4 linked regions of the Saccharomyces cerevisiae S288C genome follow. The protein of the gene in region 3 purifies or fractionates together with the protein of the main gene of each other region. This does not show direct contact. Each region holds a gene or a part of one and is shown on either strand. Other genes may lie near its edges. The genes, in order: SNU56, SNU71, CBC2 and RSE1.

Region 1 (4,073 bases), on a different chromosome or scaffold from region 3:
GAATCTCCTAAGGTATCCTCAGCATTCAAAAATGGATTAGTATTCTTTAATGTTTCCTTTTGTAATGGTGCCTGGATAGAATGGCTCCTGCTATGAGCATTCCTATTTGGACTTCTTGGCGGTATATCAGGGGCAGAAGTTTCAGCCGTCGAAGTTCGTGCGATATTTGTTGATTTCTTTATTGTAGAGGGCACCGATGGCTTTCTAACGGATTTTTCAGAGTCATTGTTTTTACTTTCAGAACCAAACCGAAAAAAAGACCTTCGTTTACCTTTATTGTTGCTAAAGCCATCAAACATCACTGTATTATTAGACTTTACCTGTAGACTCCTTCAAAACCTGTAATTCGCTTTGCAGAACATGCTATTTCAACATTTTCCCTCTTAAACTTTTGCCAAATAATAATAGTGCGCTCTTTGAATCCGCGATGACATTTGAAAGAAAACATTAAATTAAACTATCGCTTTGCATACGGAGCAAATGCCATGAAAGAGAAAAAATAACCAAAAGGTTTTTTAAATATATCTATACACCTCCACTGTTATATGCGACTCAATGTTCTAATATATTCAATATCAGCTCTAATGCTTTGACTATATATTCACCGACTCCACCAATACTAATAACGCGGATGGTACTTGGGTGAGGCGCCTGAGCAAAAATAGTGTAATTTGTTGTATTTAAAGATTCAAGCCACATTTGTGACTCGTGAAGATTATTCAGATTCAATACGACGATATTACAATTTGTCTTTGATCGTAGATCATTTAGATTTTGATAAACAATATCAATATAATTTTGTCTTGGACACCTAACGTATGTCTTTAGAATCTGATACGAAGACTTCTTTTTCACTGCATCCATAGAAGCTTTTATGGTACCAATGCAATGTTGTTTGATTTCATCCTGCGTCATAAAACCCGGTTTATTACCTTCACTATACCTTCCGTCCTCAAAAGTTTTTGGCCCGGAATGACGATTGGAAGAATTCAATACATTTGATGGCTTATTAACAGCGTGTCTCTGTGGTTGTGTTTGATATGAAGTTGCACCTGCTTCAATAGTTTGAGAAGAGGAAATTGAATTTGAAGAGGGCGAATTCGATAAAGGTCTTTGTTGTCGTGGAAATTGATCTCCTTGAAGGCCACTTATTTCGTTATATGCCTTCATTTCAGAAATATGTTTAATCATTTGAGCTTTTGATGTTTCTATAATTGGCCTGGTTTTACTAATGTACGACTTTATATCAAACAAGCCATCGCCAATTAATGGAAGTTCGTAGAGGGCAAGTGATATCTGTGAATAAGTGCGGTTATATTCACGCTTAAAGTAGTTTATCACGTTAGCTTCACACTTGCCAAATTCTACTTGTGAAAAAAAATTAGAAAGCTCATTCATGAACTTACTTACATGACAAGCCTTAACTTGAAACTGTTGAAAATCTGGAACAACATTGAAACCAACTTCTACAATACTGGATGAGGGCTGCTCTCTTCTATAGCTTGTTATTATATGGCCTCTACCAGTTTCTATATTCTTGGGCAAATAAAACGAACCTGTCAAGTTAATATTCTTAGGAACTCTAAAGTATGATTTTTCGGATGGTGCCATCCATAATCGCTTCTGGAAAGCAAGCAGAACTGATAATACGAAGCAAGAGTCCAATATATTGAAGTCCTTCAAAACTATGTAGAAAAGCATGCCTTCATCTTTCTGCTCTTTCTGTGGATAACATCGTAATATATCCTTCGATATATACTTATGCAATTCATCCATGCACTCGTCGAACTGTTGTTTATCTTCCGTTCTCATGGGGAGTATGAGCAGACTACCTTTTATGAATTGCCCTGCATTCTTCTTAGTCGACCTTATCCTATCTAGGTTTTTCCATATATCAAAAGATTGGAATGCTTCAGAATTACCGACCTTCCTTCTTTGGCCATCATTGGATGTCGTAGGATAATGTCCTTGTGAAAGTTGTCCCTTCGGCTTGGTATGATGATACGCTAATCCTCTCCTTCTTGGGCGCATGATACTAATATTTTTTGCTTATATTAGTCGAAGGGAAACTGTTTCTCAACGTCAAACTTCTACTATAGTATATAATATAACTTTAATGTTTTCTACACTGCGATGCGCGCTGAAAATTCTAGCTCAAATAAAAAAAAGGTTACAACAAACCAGTAGCAATCATGAGAATAAGAAATATGAAGAAGTAATTAAAGATCATGTTGGAGTAAAAATCCAAAATATCATCTGTTTATTAGCATTCGTGTTAGTAGTATATTATCAAATGCGGTGTAAGAAGATGACATAAAGATTGAAAGACAGTCATCAAATGGAAGAGGAAATGCAACAACTCATGATGTAATAGGATAATGTCACATAAAAAATGGAAGATGAGATTATAATATTATTACGTAAGAATACCGATCCTCTTTTGCGGGTTCTTATATCTCGGGGAGAGCTTCTAGTACATTATTCATTCATAATATTATACCTTTACCAAGGATTGAATCCCAACAATCATCAAATTATTCACCCCTTTCTCAGGTCACTGGTTTGAAGCAAGTAAACTACATCTTCTTATACCGTATGCGATAATATACTAATAATATAAATACTACTAAATAGATGATGCTAGAATTCCATTAGAACTATAGTATACCATTTAAGTATTTATATTGCTATTGTAATATCTTATGAAAAGTTAATGTTCATCTGTCCCAACAATCTCTAACAAGTACAAAGATGACACGAGTTATGAGGCGCTGTCATAGGAACCTCCAAACAAGTTTGATATTAATTATAAGAAACATATTTCAAGCCCTCGTGTTGTATTACGGGCTCGAGTAATACCGGAGTGTTTTGACAATCCTAATATAAACAGTCTTAGGGAAGTAACCAGTTGTCAAAACAGTTTATCAGATTAATTCACGGAATGTTACTTATCTTATATATTATATAAAATATGAATCATACTAAGTGGTGGAAGCGCGGAATCTCGGATCTAAACTAATTGTTCAGGCATTTATACTTTTGGGTAGTTCAGCTAGGGAAGGACGGGTTTTGTCTCATGTTGTTCGTTTTGTTATAAGGTTGTTTCATATGTGTTTTATGAACGTTTAGGATGACGTATTGTCATACTGACGTATCTCATTTTGAGATACAACACCTCGCAAGAAATCGACTCTCGGTAGCCAAGTTGGTTTAAGGCGCAAGACTGTAATTTATCACTACGAAATCTTGAGATCGGGCGTTCGACTCGCCCCCGGGAGATTTTTTTATGTCAAGCACCTACTTTTAGCCGGCTTTCTGGAGATAAGTTCCCAGTAGTCGTTGTATTTGATTCTCTATTGGATAGTCAATGACACATTCGTGACCGAACAATGAGATATTATTGAGTACCGGGAGTATTATGTGTCATAATTTGTAGTATTATCTGTGTGACGGATTAAGTTTGCTATCTCAAATGCCGCGCGCGCGAATTGCTCATGATATAATAATAGCTAATAATATGATAATATGATAATAATAGATAAGATTACTGATAACATTATTTTAGTATTCAAAAGCGTATTACATATATATAGTCGAGTAAATACTTTTTTTTCAATGGGGAGTGGAAGGGACAGCCGCTCTGACCTGTTATTAACGACAGACAACACGGTACCAAAGTTATACAATGACTGTGCACTCAACGTGGAAGGAAAAAGTTCAATTAAAAAAAGATCAACTGAACAGTAAGATAAAAGACGAATGGAAATTAAACAGCACAACTATAACGAGGTTGAAGAACGATAAAAAAAATTTAATCAAGAATATCGATGATTTATGCTCATCTTCAGAAAATCAGATCACCCACTCCACGATTATGGCCTTGAGACAGGCACTGGAAGCAAAAGAGTTAAGCTGCCATGAAATAACAGCTGCATTTTGTCATAGGGCTGCTTTAATTCATCAAGTAGTGAATTGTCTATCCGAAATCATGTTTTCAGAGGCATTGAGATTGGCTGACTATTACGACAGCAATAGACCAGCCATATTGCCACCCTTGTACGGTATACCGATAT
Region 2 (4,441 bases), on a different chromosome or scaffold from region 3:
GCGGCTTTTCATCAGACGTGGAATGTCAGTTCAATATCTTCTTCCAAACTCTGTCATCCGTTACATCCAAGAGTATAATCTATACATTAATCAAAGTGAACCGGTCAAGCAGGTCTTGGATAGCAAAGAGTGAGTTTATTACAACTCTGATACTGCAGCAGTTCAAATTTACCACTTTCCTCTTCAAGGTGCATAGAAAAAAAGTTCCTGGATGCACGATTTAAAATGTTTACAGCAGAGCAACAATCATGTGAACAATGTCAAACATTTATTTTAACACTTAATAATTATAATATAACCACACCAGCGGTAAGTTTCATAAGGAAAACCTTTCAGACAAACATTCCAGTGAATCGTATACGTAAATCAGCAAAATTAGCTTATAAAATACAGAATCCGAAGATACTTGATCTACTCGCGTTACTATTAATGCGGGTAATGATCTATATTGAATTTTGCACGTCTATAGTAACTTAAAAGTCTTGTAATATTTGAAGTAACAATGCCGTATAATACTGCATAATAGCCCTATCAATCGGAATATACCAAAACATCCTTTATGTCCTGTTCTCAAAATAAGACTTCTGTCAGTCTGGCCTGGCGTGAATGCATATCCATCGCTTCCGTCCTAATTGGCGCGTATGCATCATACAAATACTATAAGCTGTTCAAAACACGCGATATTCCACGTCCAAAAGAAGGCGTTGAAGAACTCATAGGAAACACTCCTCTGGTTAAGATCAGATCTCTTACCAAGGCTACTGGAGTTAACATTTACGCTAAGTTGGAGTTATGCAACCCAGCAGGAAGTGCTAAGGATAGAGTGGCTTTAAACATCATAAAGACGGCTGAGGAATTAGGCGAGCTCGTCAGAGGTGAACCTGGCTGGGTATTTGAAGGAACAAGTGGGTCGACTGGTATCTCTATAGCAGTGGTCTGTAATGCGTTGGGTTATAGGGCACACATTTCTTTGCCCGATGACACATCGCTAGAAAAATTGGCATTACTAGAAAGCCTCGGTGCTACTGTTAATAAGGTTAAGCCCGCTAGTATTGTCGATCCAAACCAATACGTAAATGCCGCCAAAAAGGCATGTAATGAACTAAAGAAGAGTGGTAATGGAATAAGAGCAGTTTTTGCCGATCAGTTCGAAAACGAAGCCAACTGGAAAGTACATTACCAGACCACAGGCCCAGAAATTGCCCATCAAACTAAGGGAAATATTGACGCATTCATTGCTGGCTGCGGTACTGGTGGCACCATAACTGGTGTGGCAAAATTCTTAAAGGAAAGAGCAAAGATACCTTGCCATGTCGTTCTAGCGGATCCACAAGGATCTGGCTTTTATAATAGAGTCAACTATGGCGTGATGTATGACTATGTAGAGAAGGAAGGTACTAGAAGAAGGCATCAAGTTGACACTATCGTAGAAGGGATTGGGTTAAACAGAATCACTCATAATTTTCATATGGGCGAAAAGTTTATTGATGAATCAATACGAGTCAACGATAATCAAGCCATTAGAATGGCAAAATACCTATCGGTAAACGACGGGCTATTCGTGGGGAGTAGTACAGCTATTAATGCGGTAGCCGCTATTCAGGTTGCAAAAACGCTTCCTCACGGCTCAAACATTGTGATTATTGCATGCGACAGCGGTTCAAGACACCTAAGTAAATTCTGGAAAGAAGCTAAAGAAATCGATCACGACGTGTCATTAGAAGAAGTAATAAATATCTAACATAGATGTATAAATCAGTACTGAGTTATCTTCTATTAAATTGTAGGAACAAATATAAAAAAGCAGTTTTCGCTGCTACATTTTTTGCTACTTTCCGTGGTAATGATGCCCGCTAAAAAGTGCAAAAGTAATTAGATAGATCAAGAACAAAAACAGACCAGGACCAAAATCAAGCTCATAAAAGTTCCTTAAGAGTACGTCGATTTACAGAACATGAGGGATATTGTATTTGTATCACCGCAGCTGTATTTGTCATCACAGGAGGGTTGGAAAAGTGATTCTGCCAAAAGTGGGTTCATCCCTATCCTCAAAAATGATCTACAACGTTTTCAGGACTCATTAAAACATATAGTTGACGCCAGAAACAGCTTATCAGAGACACTGCTAAATAGCAACGATGATGGGAGTATACACAATTCTGACCAGAATACTGGTTTGAATAAAGACAAAGAGGCTTCAATAGCAGATAACAATAGTGCTAACAAGTGCGCCACAAGCTCTTCCCGTTACCAAGAGCTCAAACAATTTCTTCCCATTTCCTTAGACCAACAGATTCATACAGTATCTTTACAAGGTGTCTCTTCATCATTTTCTCGCGGACAGATAGAATCATTGCTAGACCACTGTTTGAATTTAGCGTTGACTGAAACTCAAAGCAATTCCGCATTGAAAGTAGAAGCTTGGTCTTCTTTTTCTTCGTTTTTAGATACCCAGGACATTTTTATAAGATTCAGTAAGGTTGATGAAGATGAGGCATTTGTTAATACGCTGAACTACTGCAAAGCCTTATTCGCGTTTATTAGAAAGCTACATGAGGATTTCAAGATTGAGTTACACTTGGATTTGAACACAAAAGAATATGTCGAAGACCGAACAGGAACTATACCGAGTGTTAAGCCAGAAAAGGCTAGCGAATTTTATTCTGTTTTCAAAAACATTGAAGATCAAACAGACGAAAGAAATTCAAAGAAAGAACAGTTGGATGACTCTTCCACACAATACAAAGTGGATACAAACACTTTAAGTGATTTGCCATCGGATGCTTTGGACCAATTGTGCAAGGATATAATAGAATTTAGGACAAAAGTTGTCAGTATAGAGAAAGAAAAAAAAATGAAAAGTACGTACGAGGAAAGTAGGCGTCAAAGACACCAAATGCAAAAAGTTTTTGATCAAATAAGGAAAAACCACTCAGGAGCCAAAGGGAGCGCCAATACAGAGGAGGAGGATACTAATATGGAAGATGAAGATGAGGAGGATGACACTGAAGACGACCTTGCCTTAGAGAAGAGAAAAGAAGAAAGAGACCTGGAAGAATCAAATCGTAGATATGAGGATATGTTACACCAATTACATTCCAATACAGAGCCTAAGATAAAATCCATTAGGGCTGATATCATGAGTGCTGAAAACTATGAGGAACATTTGGAGAAAAATCGCTCATTATATTTGAAGGAGCTATTACACCTTGCCAACGACGTTCATTACGACCACCATAGATCTTTCAAGGAGCAAGAGGAAAGAAGGGACGAAGAGGATAGAGCTAAAAATGGAAATGCAAAGGAACTGGCGCCTATACAACTATCGGATGGTAAGGCCATATCTGCAGGGAAGGCTGCCGCCATCACCCTTCCTGAAGGCACTGTGAAGAGCGAGAACTATAACGCGGACAAGAATGTGTCTGAGAGCTCAGAACACGTCAAGATCAAATTCGACTTTAAGAAGGCTATTGATCACTCAGTTGAAAGCTCTAGCGAAGACGAGGGATACAGAGAGAGCGAGCTACCTCCAACAAAACCCTCCGAGAGAAGCGCGGCAGAGGACCGTTTGCCATTTACAGCAGATGAACTGAACATAAGACTAACTAATCTGAAGGAATCGCGCTACGTGGACGAACTGGTGCGTGAATTCCTCGGCGTCTACGAGGACGAGCTGGTGGAATACATTCTTGAGAACATCCGCGTGAACCAGAGCAAACAGGCCCTTTTAAATGAGCTAAGGGAGACTTTCGACGAGGACGGGGAAACGATAGCTGATAGACTGTGGAGTCGTAAAGAATTTCGCTTGGGGACCTGAAACAGAAGGGCCTTGGCGCGCGTCCCAAAAGGGAAAGGCTCGCTCTGAAACAGGCGAAGACACGAAAACAAATTACCGTTTCGGGGCGTTTTGCAGCAAGTGGCTAGACACGTCGGGCGTTGCCAGATCAAAATAGCACCAGTGGGTGTTTTTTTACTATCTCATCTTCGTGCTGATATATATAACTTTTATACATTTCCATAGTACCAAGTTCTTTATTTCCTGCATTTTTACATTTATAATAGATTACCAAAACTATTCGACCTCACCAAGGGACCCCATAATATTGCTAAAATAATCTTACCTGTTTTTTACCATTTTTTTCTTTTTTTCCAGAAGTAATAAGCTCTCTCTTAGAAGAACTAAAAGCATCTGACTTCGGCTCGTTCCAACCGACCAAAATATTTGTGAAAATATTATTCATTCCTTTAACGACTTATTGTGTATTCTGTTCATCTCTAGCTGGCTTCCACCTCGTTTCCTATTTTTATTGACTTTTCATTAGGCTTCCTAATTATACCCATCTATGCAGTTTCCATTCGCTTGTCTCCTATCGACCCTTGTAATTAGTGGGTCATTGGCCCGGGCCAGCCCCTTCGACTTTATATTCGGCAATGGAACGCA
Region 3 (3,137 bases):
ATGTGAGAAGACGCAAAATATTTAGTGATTACTATACCCTGGTAAACTCAATTCCTAATGACAACGCGAATAATACCCCAGTGGAACGAGTTCAAAACGTCTCAGCATATCATAACACATTATCTGCCACAAATAATACTATGTACGATGCTACGTCAACCTGCTCCACGGATTATGAATTATCCAAGAGATTTGCTCATGCCCCCGTTACACGCCGTAAAAAACTAATTGATAGGCTGGAAGAATTGAAAAAGCTATCCAACCCTGATATGAATTGATCACTTATCAATGCATTACTTAAATATTCATATAATTATATCTATTACCATTTACATTTTATCGTTACTATATATAGTATTATCATGTCATTGAACGTGTTACGTCTATTATGTTACACTGATTTTTTTTTTTTTTTTTTACATAACAGCATCATGCAAGCCTTTAAAAATAATGTAGGTATGTATATATACAATAATATATATATATATATATATATCTGTGTGTAGAATCTTTCTCAGATATAAATTGATTGATTCTACTGAGGTACGTAGTTATCATCTTCTCTTTCTTCATCGAAACCTGGTCTGAAAGTACCCATTGCATCAGGAGGAGGGATATAATTATTCGTATTAGATTGTGAGCTACTGTTATCAAATCTGGAATGTGGTACGCCGACACGCTCTGCAAATGGAATGGCGAAGCCACCTCTGGATGCATCAAAATCGAACCTCAATTCATCGCTGACTTGACCACCGCTCTTACCACGACCAAACTGTCTTCCATCTTCAAAACCAGGATCTAGATCAATGGTAATTGTCTTTTCGTCTAACTTTGTATCGGACAAATATTTTAAGGCATTCAATGCTTCATCTGGACAACTATATATAATAAAACAGAAGCCACATGGCGTGAACTTAAAACGGTCCAAACCCATAATTATTCTTTTTATTGTGCCACATTTACTGAATAATTCGTAAATTTGTTCTTCTGATGTATAAAAGGAAAGATTTCCTACATAAATTGTGGATGACTTCATCGACTCACGCAGTTCTTGTAGCCCGTTAGGGTTTCTTCTAGCCTTGCGCAGCAGGTACCTTGATGGTGTATCTAGGCGTTTAGTTGAATGATCATATTTAACTTCGTCAAATTCTTCCAGGGACATCTTTCCCTTTATTTATTGGTATATTAATGGATGCAACTTTTATTCGATATTAGTCCTTTCGGGACTTTAAAAGCTGTCGAGACACTTTCTCCATATAAACTCATGTTCTATATTCATACATATAATATTTTTCTTGAAAAAAACACAAAAACTGTTAAAGCGGGTAATACTTTGATAAGCACTTATTAACGTTTATACCATACACTACTTCATACACCAATTACAAATCTATTAGTGGTATACTTTTACTGTAGACAATGTGGATTTTGATGTAATTGTTGGGATTCCATTGTGATTAAGGCTATAATATTAGGTATATAGATATACTAGAAGTTCTCCTCAAGGATTTAGGAATCCATGAAAGGGAATCTGCAATTCTACACAATTCTATAAATATTATTATCATCATTTTATATGTTAATATTCATTGATCCTATTACATTATCAATCCTTGCGTTTCAGCTTCCACTAATTTAGATGACTATTTCTCATCATTTGTGTCATCTTCTAACACCGTATATGATAATATACTAGTAACGTAAATACTAGTTAGTAGATGATAGTTGATTTTTATTCCAACATTTACTGGTACAATAGGTGTATGATATTTTCCCAAAGTTTAAATTTATATAATATAAGTGGCTTGTGCATTAATGCTCTTGAACGAAACTGGATAACGAAAACTGCAAATACTTGTAGTTTTAAACAGACACTTTCTGGGATAGGTCTATCAGCGAAGCTTGGGAATGTTTCGCCAAATTACCTGTATCCTTTCATGAGCGTGAGCAGGTTTAGGTCATGGTCACATCTTATTATATAAATTCTTTCAGAAGATTGTCAATTGTCCATCTATCGCCATAGATTATCTGAGAGCGAAGTTCCATTATGTCTACTAGTAGAAAATAATTTGAAGTTGAAATATAATAGCATTACAAAATTTTTTCTTTATATAGTCCGGTCTTGAAGAAGGATAACAATATTAAGTGTATGAAGACACAAGAACTTTTTCTTGGAAATTTGGATTTTTATGGGAGGAAACCTACAGCGGCAATGTATAATTATGATTAGTTCATCCTTTGCTGCCATCTGTTCGCAATTATTCATGCAATTGTATGATTATTGTCAGGCATTTCAACTTCCGGTAGATTCGTTTGTAATAATAGGTGAATTTTGTGTTGACATTATCAAACCGTTAAGATAGTGTTAGTTGCCAATTAGCATTTGCCTCGATAGAATGTGACGTTAGTTGTGGTACTAGGAATAAAAGTTGATGGCCAAACATTTTTCCTGCACATTTCCTTCAGCGTTTTCAGAAAAGAGAATTTGAGTAAAAATATTTTTGATGTTTAGGTTACCAATATCTCATTAATATAAATTTGAAAACAATGAATTTTGGGTTATACTTGGAGTGCATTTTATTGTGGTTAAAGGCTACAATATTAGCTAAACAGAATGTACAAGTAGTTTTCCTGGAGAATAAAAGAATTCTAAAAGAGAATCGATAATTCTATACAATAATATAGTTATCTCTTCTTTCGTTTATGTACTGTCGTTCTTGTTTTATTACGTTATTAATCCTTGCAGTGCACTTTTCATGATGACTGGTGACTGTTTCTCAATTTTTACATCATTTTTTTTTGAAAACATGATGATATACTAATAATTTGGATACTAGCAATAAATGCTTCTTGATCCTCTATTCCAACAAAAAAGTAACAAGAGCTTACTGATCTTCGGTTTTTATTTTACCTTATCCCAAATATCAAATTGAAATATACCGATTGTTTTAATCCGTTTTGTTGTATATTATCGTAATAATATGCAGATAATATACATATATACGTATTACGCCGATTAGGCTGACACTTTAACAAAATTTTCTGTCCAATTATTGTCCGATATAGTGTAACGGCTATCACATCACGCTTTCACCGTGGAGACCGGGGTTCGACTCCCCGTATCGGAGTTTTCTTTT
Region 4 (6,213 bases), on a different chromosome or scaffold from region 3:
CTTTTTTAGATGAAGGAGCTATTCAAGCACCAAAGCTATCCTTCCAGGATTATTTAAGCGGTAAGGCCAAGGCTTCCCAACAGGTTCATGAAGTGCATCATAGAAAGCTTACAAGGTTTCAGGGTGAAACTTTTCTAAGAGATTGGAACTTAGTCTGTGGGCATTATAAGAGAGATGCTAAGTGTGGAGAAATGGGACCCGACATAATTGCAGCATTTCAAGATGAAAAGCTTTTTCCTGAGAATAATCTAGCCTTAATTTCTCATATTGGGGGTCATATTTTTGCTGGTAATGTCATTTTCTATAAACTATTCGGCAGAGAAAAGATGCAAAACAAGCTGGATTCATTATGGTTTGGTAAAGTTTACCCACACAACTTGAAGCTGTTATGTGAAAACTTGGAAAACGGTAAAATCATCGACGAAATGTACAGAGGTGGCATATCGATGAATTAAAACGGTTTCCTTTTAAAACAGAAATAAAGATGAGGTGAAATTTTATATTTCTTATATTTAAAGCTATCATATATTCCTTGTACATATATTTATTAAGAAAATACATTAACACGCCTTTATACTTGGTATTATTACTGTAAAATCATTACATGTAATTTGTTCTGACTTCGTTGATTGTTTGAATTATATCCTCCACTTGTACACTCTTTAAATTTTTGGCCAAAAATTCCTGCTCATTCAAGGAAAGTCTCAGGAAATTTTCACATAAATCACCATCAATAACTTTACGTACAGGGGCATAATAGCTTCTGTATTCTTGGTGGTCTCTACCTAAAATGGAACAGGAACCCTCACATATTATTTCATCCTCTATACCATGCCGTCCTTGTAACACAACACTTCCAGATTCCTCTTCATCGTCTTCCTTACGCATATTGTTATTCTTCTTTCTTGATTCATAATCTAAATAAAACGTATCATCCGCCTCAGCCATTATATTCTCAATGTTTCCCATCATAAAAACATTCCCCTTGGATAATAAGGGGATAAAGCATCCCACGGTTCCTTGTAAGCCCATATAGATACAACCAGGTCTATCAGAATTTGAAAGGCTGTCCAGGATATGGAAATCAGTGATGATATCATTAACAAAGAAGTGGTTCAGTAGTTGAAACTTGAACTTGCAATCATAAGTATTGGGTAATTTCTGCTGTAAAGTGATGACGTCTAGTGGGTACTTGATGGCCCCATTAGATAATTCGCTGGGATCATGATTTGACATGATTTTTTCGCACTCTGGTGGAGACCTTAAAGTCCACGCATTTCCATATCTATCAGCGCCTATAACAGTTGCCTCATCTAGAAATTTCAATACCGTCACATGGCGTTTTACAGAGTCATCTACGTACGGAATAAATACATTCCCCGCAGGATCCCAGATAAATAAAGTGACAGATTCATGTATATCACCAACGGCCAGTCTTTCATAATTCCACTGGTGCATAGACACAATTTTTGTTATGGATACCGGGGTCTGTGTTACGGACCTTCTTAATAATTGCTTTTTCCCCAAACCATAAAGGACAATAGTGGAGCCCATGGCTGTCAGCAAGAAGTTTTTAAACTTCAACATAGCATGTATTGGTGAAATGATTTCTGTTTGGTGAAGTAATTCAATATCAAAAGATAGTTTATCTTTGTTAACTAATATCTTGTATGTTAACAGCCTTTTGTCGCCAGCACAAATGATCAAATGATCAGCTTGTCTTGTGAAATCTATTATAGCAGCGGAAACGCAATCGATATCGTCCAGTATCTTGTATAAATGATCCGAACTGCCAAACTTTAAGCATTCACCATCAATTTGCAGTGATATACGGCATTGTTTCTTACCACTGTGATTATCAATAAACAAAATGCTTTTCGGATTATTGGGAAATGATAAAATAGTACGAGGTCGGAATGTAGATATTTGTAACATTTCCATTTCTTCTTCCATTTCATCTTCTTCCTCTTCATTGCTTTCATCTCCTCCACCGTTCTCTTGCTTGTTAACACTTGATTCATGAACGTGAAACCAGTTATCCAAAGTTGGAAAGTTGGAAACTCTGCCAATATTTAAGCGTCCTGAGCTCGATATTGAACAAACACCGTTGATTGCAACATCTGCGTTAACAAATTTGGAACAACTTAGCATGTTTTGATCCTTTAACTGCCGTATGGTCCACACATTTTTCCACGTGTAGCTTACCCATGTAGAAGAGGAATGGCAAACCACGCATGACATCCATTTAGCTCCACTACTATTTATTTCTTCTTCTTCTTTTTCATCATCATCGTCTTCTTCTTCTTCTTCTTCTTCCTCATTATTTAGTGATACAGATATCTCACGCAAATACGAAAGGGAAACAGGCTTCAAGCCAAGGAATCGCCTTTTTATGTCAGTGAACGATCCGTCAACATCCCCTATATGAAATTTCATGTAAACGCCATTTTCTAAACCTACATGCAAATTAAGCTGTCCTATTGAGGAATCTCTAACCATTATCATGTCAGAAATCTTTTCACTAACTAATTGCAAACTTATTACAGTTAAAAAATCTTCCTTTTGGTCTTTAAGAGACATTATTTTGATCATACCCTCATTGTCAGCAATGGCTAATAAATCAGCATGCTGCGTATCTTGCACAATCGCAACTTTAGAGGGCATTGTGTCCAATTCTGGGTGGGTGGTTAATTCGATTAACGAATCCGAAGATACATCTATCTTGAAATAAACCAATTCGTAATTTGATAATGATATAATTAGTTGTGTTTTCGAGGACGTGGCACATACAATACGAATTCCCGCTGGTGGCACCCAAGTCAGCTTATTAGAATACCTAGATTTACCAGTCGGTACGATATGTCTTAGTTCTGCGGTGCATACTTGGATAATAGAGTGTGAGCCCATTAGGCATGTATGAATTGTTGTGTCCTGAGAGAGCTTGAAAGCTGAACGCGTTGCTTCATCCGGTGTTAGTTCCTCCATGGACTCGTTGTCAATTTGTAGTATCATAGTTTTCTTGGGAAAAGTTATGAACAAAAGAGTATTGTTATCGCCGGTTGTTGCAGGATCGGGTATTAGCCATAACTTGGTTGCGTTCGGGGGTAAACTAGTAGATATCAAATTAGAGTAATTCACAGCATTTGTTAAAGTTATTATCTTGTTGTTTGTAAAATGTTTAGTGGCGATAGACAGTGGCGAATCACTGACAATTTGAGATTTTATTGAAGGGTTCAAATTCAATTGTTGCGATAATATGCTCAAATTCTGCAACTTTATGGATGGTTCGAAAACTAGCGACTTATTTGGATCTTTTGAGGTTAAAACATTAGAAAAATCATTTTTCTCTACACCAAGTTTCTCAAACTGGAAAAGAAAGTTGTTATTCATTTCAGATAGTGCAAAAAGATAACCGTTTTTGAAAATGTGTAATTGGTGTGAATTTTGGATTGTATCAAAGTAGGACAATTGAACTAAAGGTCTATTTCTATCATTAGTGTCTGGACTTACAGTTAACTTAAAAAGATCGCCATGGTTAGATTGTAAAAGTACGAAAAAATCATTTTTCAATTTCTGCACTATGCCTGATATGATTGTTACATTTTTATGACGGCTATTTGTGATAGATCTTTTGGGTATTTCCACTTTCAGGCTGAAAAATCCGTTCATATCCTTTACCAGAATATGATTTTCGAAGCCTATGACAACAAAAGGGTTGAAAAGGGTATCATAGTCAGCATCATAGTTGTTGTCGCTTAGCGAAGTTGTTATATTATATCGCGATAGATCTGGCAAACTCAGTACGAAATTGGCAGATGGGTTAACTAAATAATCTGCCTTCTTGACGATGTGATTCAAACCCAACTCGAGGACATAAAATATCAAGTGTACTGATAGTTGAGTAGCGGCATTGTCGATTTCTAAGGTAACAAAACATGGATTATTGAAATTTACATCAACAACTGCCATATCCAGCGTTACCATATGGGGTCTGATGATTTCCAATGGAGACGAAATCCTCAATTTTTGAGCATAATCAACGAGGAAACACAATTTATTTTGTTCGACAGATGAGAGAATGATACAACGCCCATTAGGGTCAATTTCCATGTATGATATGGGAGAGACTCTTCGAAGGGTGGTCCTCGTCAATGGCTGGTTCACTAAAGTCTTAAGTCTAAGAGCACCTGCATGCATAATGATTTGCACGATACTTAGGTTACCAGAATCGGAAGTTAGCGCTAGAAAAGTGGGCCAGTTGGAAGCTTTTGCCCTTGACCCTGAATGCGGCAGATCCAGCGACTTCATCGAGGTTATCGTCGCAAACAGGTTTTGAAACTTGGCAATAAGCTTTAGTTCCCCATCTGCAGTATCATAAAGTTCTAAATGCGTCTCAGTAGCTACGCACAATTGCGACTGCTCACGCTTGGACCCTGCTTCCAGATCGACGAAGTGTCCGATGCAGGAGTGCACGAAATTCGTCTGTTTCTTTAAAGTAAGATGGTACAAGTATAGCTCATCATCTTTAGCAACCATTGTTATGTTATGGTCACTCCTTGTTCTTCTTTCAGCCTCTCGTTTTAAACCGTCATAAGCCATCGTTGTGCTAGCTTGCCCAAATAGTTTACGCATCTTCGCCGTGTGGGGCGACAAGCTTACTACTGCCATTTTGCCACCTCCCCACATTTAATGATGGAAAATATTATAAAAAAGCGAGAAAAGAAGCTAATGGTGCCATTGTTTTCCTTTTTAGAGAGGGGCAGCAGAGATCGGTGGACTTTGTTTTGATAGAGGGCGATTGCAAGCATGGAGATTTACATTAGACTTAACGCAGATGTCGAGCACGACTATGCGTTTCAGGTGTCAAATGAAGACACCATAAATAACAAAATTAAGAAGATTTTCCCTTCCAAGACGGGTTTGGCGGACTTAATGGTGCTGAGACCATCAATTTTCCATGAGAAGGAGCCCGTAAAGTTCTATAAGTCTATCCATCCAGGGTACCTGTCCGAAGGTGGTTGTTTGATGTTCCATTATGAAGCTGATAACGAAGAAAATCTCGAGGAGTTGAATGACTCCAAGCCGCTTATTGACCAGTTGTGGCCTGGTCAGCTAGTTGTTCCGGAGTGGAAGCTATCCAAGAAAAACATATGGGTATACACCATTATTATGTTGGCCTGGCTATATACCGATTTGCCCGACGCCATTTCTCCAACCCCAGGTATTTGTTTGACTAATCAATTGTCTAGACTATTGATTCCTGTAGCCAAGCACATGGATTTACCTGAAATTGCCGCTAAACTCGAACAAGAAGTTCAGGCAAACTATTCTAGTCTCGTAGCTCAATGGCTTTTCTTTGTCATGCACATTTTCAAAGTGGGCATAATTACTTTATTCCTCAAATTAGGCATTGCCAACCCCATCAGCTTCAATCCTTACAAGTTATGGAGTTTGAGAGATTTAACTTCTCCTTCTGCTAACGGCGCTAAGAATTCTGGCGGCAATAACAACACTACTGACTTAAAGACACGTTTGCGCTCTCTGGGCTGGATTGGTGCTAAGAGAGCTACTTACGACGATTACCAGACTAACTATTACAACTATGTCATAGATAAGATGGGTGGTGCAGTTGCTGCTTATAGAGCGGGCGCGATTAGGAAAGCTGCAGCACCAGGTATCCAACTTGTGGCTGGAGAGGGTTTCCAAAGTCCTCTAGAAGATAGGTTCACTGCTTCCACTTTCACGGCTATTAAAACCGAACGGAAATTCATTTTAAGTGAAGAATACTTTGTGGAGCTGGAAAACAATCTAAAGAAGATCTTGGAAGAGTATGACGGGGATATTGGTAAGATGAATGCTGAAATTAGGAGGTTTAGAAGGTTTGGTATTTATGAACCAGATGAAAAACTGGCCTCGCTAGTTAAGCTCAGAAGAGAAATTGCTGATGAGAAAGAGAAAGCATCAAACAATGATGCTACTTTTGGTATAAAAAAGAATGATTTGAAAAAATCTAATTAATTGTAAAACCAAAACACTACCATCCAGACTTTTTTTTTATTCAACCATAGCCTTTAACTACTACTACTACTACTAGTACTACTACTATTACTATTACTATTACTACTACTAGAGGGCCTTTTTTTACTCCTAGTATTTTTGTACTATCCTATTTACTCTCGTTGTTTTTATTAGTTTTTTCACTCTTTTTTTCAA

What was found.
Region 1: the proteins of CBC2 (region 3) and SNU56 purify together in Saccharomyces cerevisiae (affinity purification with mass spectrometry; 6 studies listed by BioGRID). This does not show direct contact.
Region 2: the proteins of CBC2 (region 3) and SNU71 purify together in Saccharomyces cerevisiae (affinity purification with mass spectrometry; 5 studies listed by BioGRID). This does not show direct contact.
Region 4: the proteins of CBC2 (region 3) and RSE1 purify together in Saccharomyces cerevisiae (affinity purification with mass spectrometry, with the first as the bait; 5 studies listed by BioGRID). This does not show direct contact.

Annotation. Positions count from the first base shown.
Region 1 is NC_001136.10:943,122-947,194, forward strand, and holds SNU56 (Snu56p), read right to left. Parts: upstream 2,032-4,073; coding exon 553-2,031; downstream 1-552. Other genes in the region: YDR239C (uncharacterized protein), read right to left, coding at 1-299; AMD2 (putative amidase), read left to right, coding at 3,686-4,073. UniProt on the Saccharomyces cerevisiae protein: Component of the U1 snRNP particle, which recognizes and binds the 5'-splice site of pre-mRNA. Together with other non-snRNP factors, U1 snRNP forms the spliceosomal commitment complex, that targets pre-mRNA to the splicing pathway.
Region 2 is NC_001139.9:512,600-517,040, forward strand, and holds SNU71 (Snu71p), read left to right. Parts: upstream 1-1,954; coding exon 1,955-3,817; downstream 3,818-4,441. Other genes in the region: nicotinamide-nucleotide adenylyltransferase NMA2, read left to right, coding at 1-133; MCY1 (putative cysteine synthase), read left to right, coding at 560-1,741; MSB2 (Msb2p), read left to right, coding at 4,344-4,441. UniProt on the Saccharomyces cerevisiae protein: Component of the U1 snRNP particle, which recognizes and binds the 5'-splice site of pre-mRNA. Together with other non-snRNP factors, U1 snRNP forms the spliceosomal commitment complex, that targets pre-mRNA to the splicing pathway.
Region 3 is NC_001148.4:210,183-213,319, reverse strand, and holds CBC2 (nuclear cap-binding protein subunit CBC2), read right to left. Parts: upstream 1,163-3,137; coding exon 536-1,162; downstream 1-535. Other genes in the region: CUP9 (Cup9p), read left to right, coding at 1-278.
Region 4 is NC_001145.3:173,620-179,832, forward strand, and holds RSE1 (U2 snRNP complex subunit RSE1), read right to left. Parts: upstream 4,687-6,213; coding exon 601-4,686; downstream 1-600. Other genes in the region: AIM32 (Aim32p), read left to right, coding at 1-455; GSF2 (Gsf2p), read left to right, coding at 4,807-6,018. UniProt on the Saccharomyces cerevisiae protein: Involved in G2/M transition. Required for pre-mRNA splicing and endoplasmic reticulum (ER) to Golgi secretion pathway. U2 snRNPs associated protein required for the pre-spliceosome assembly.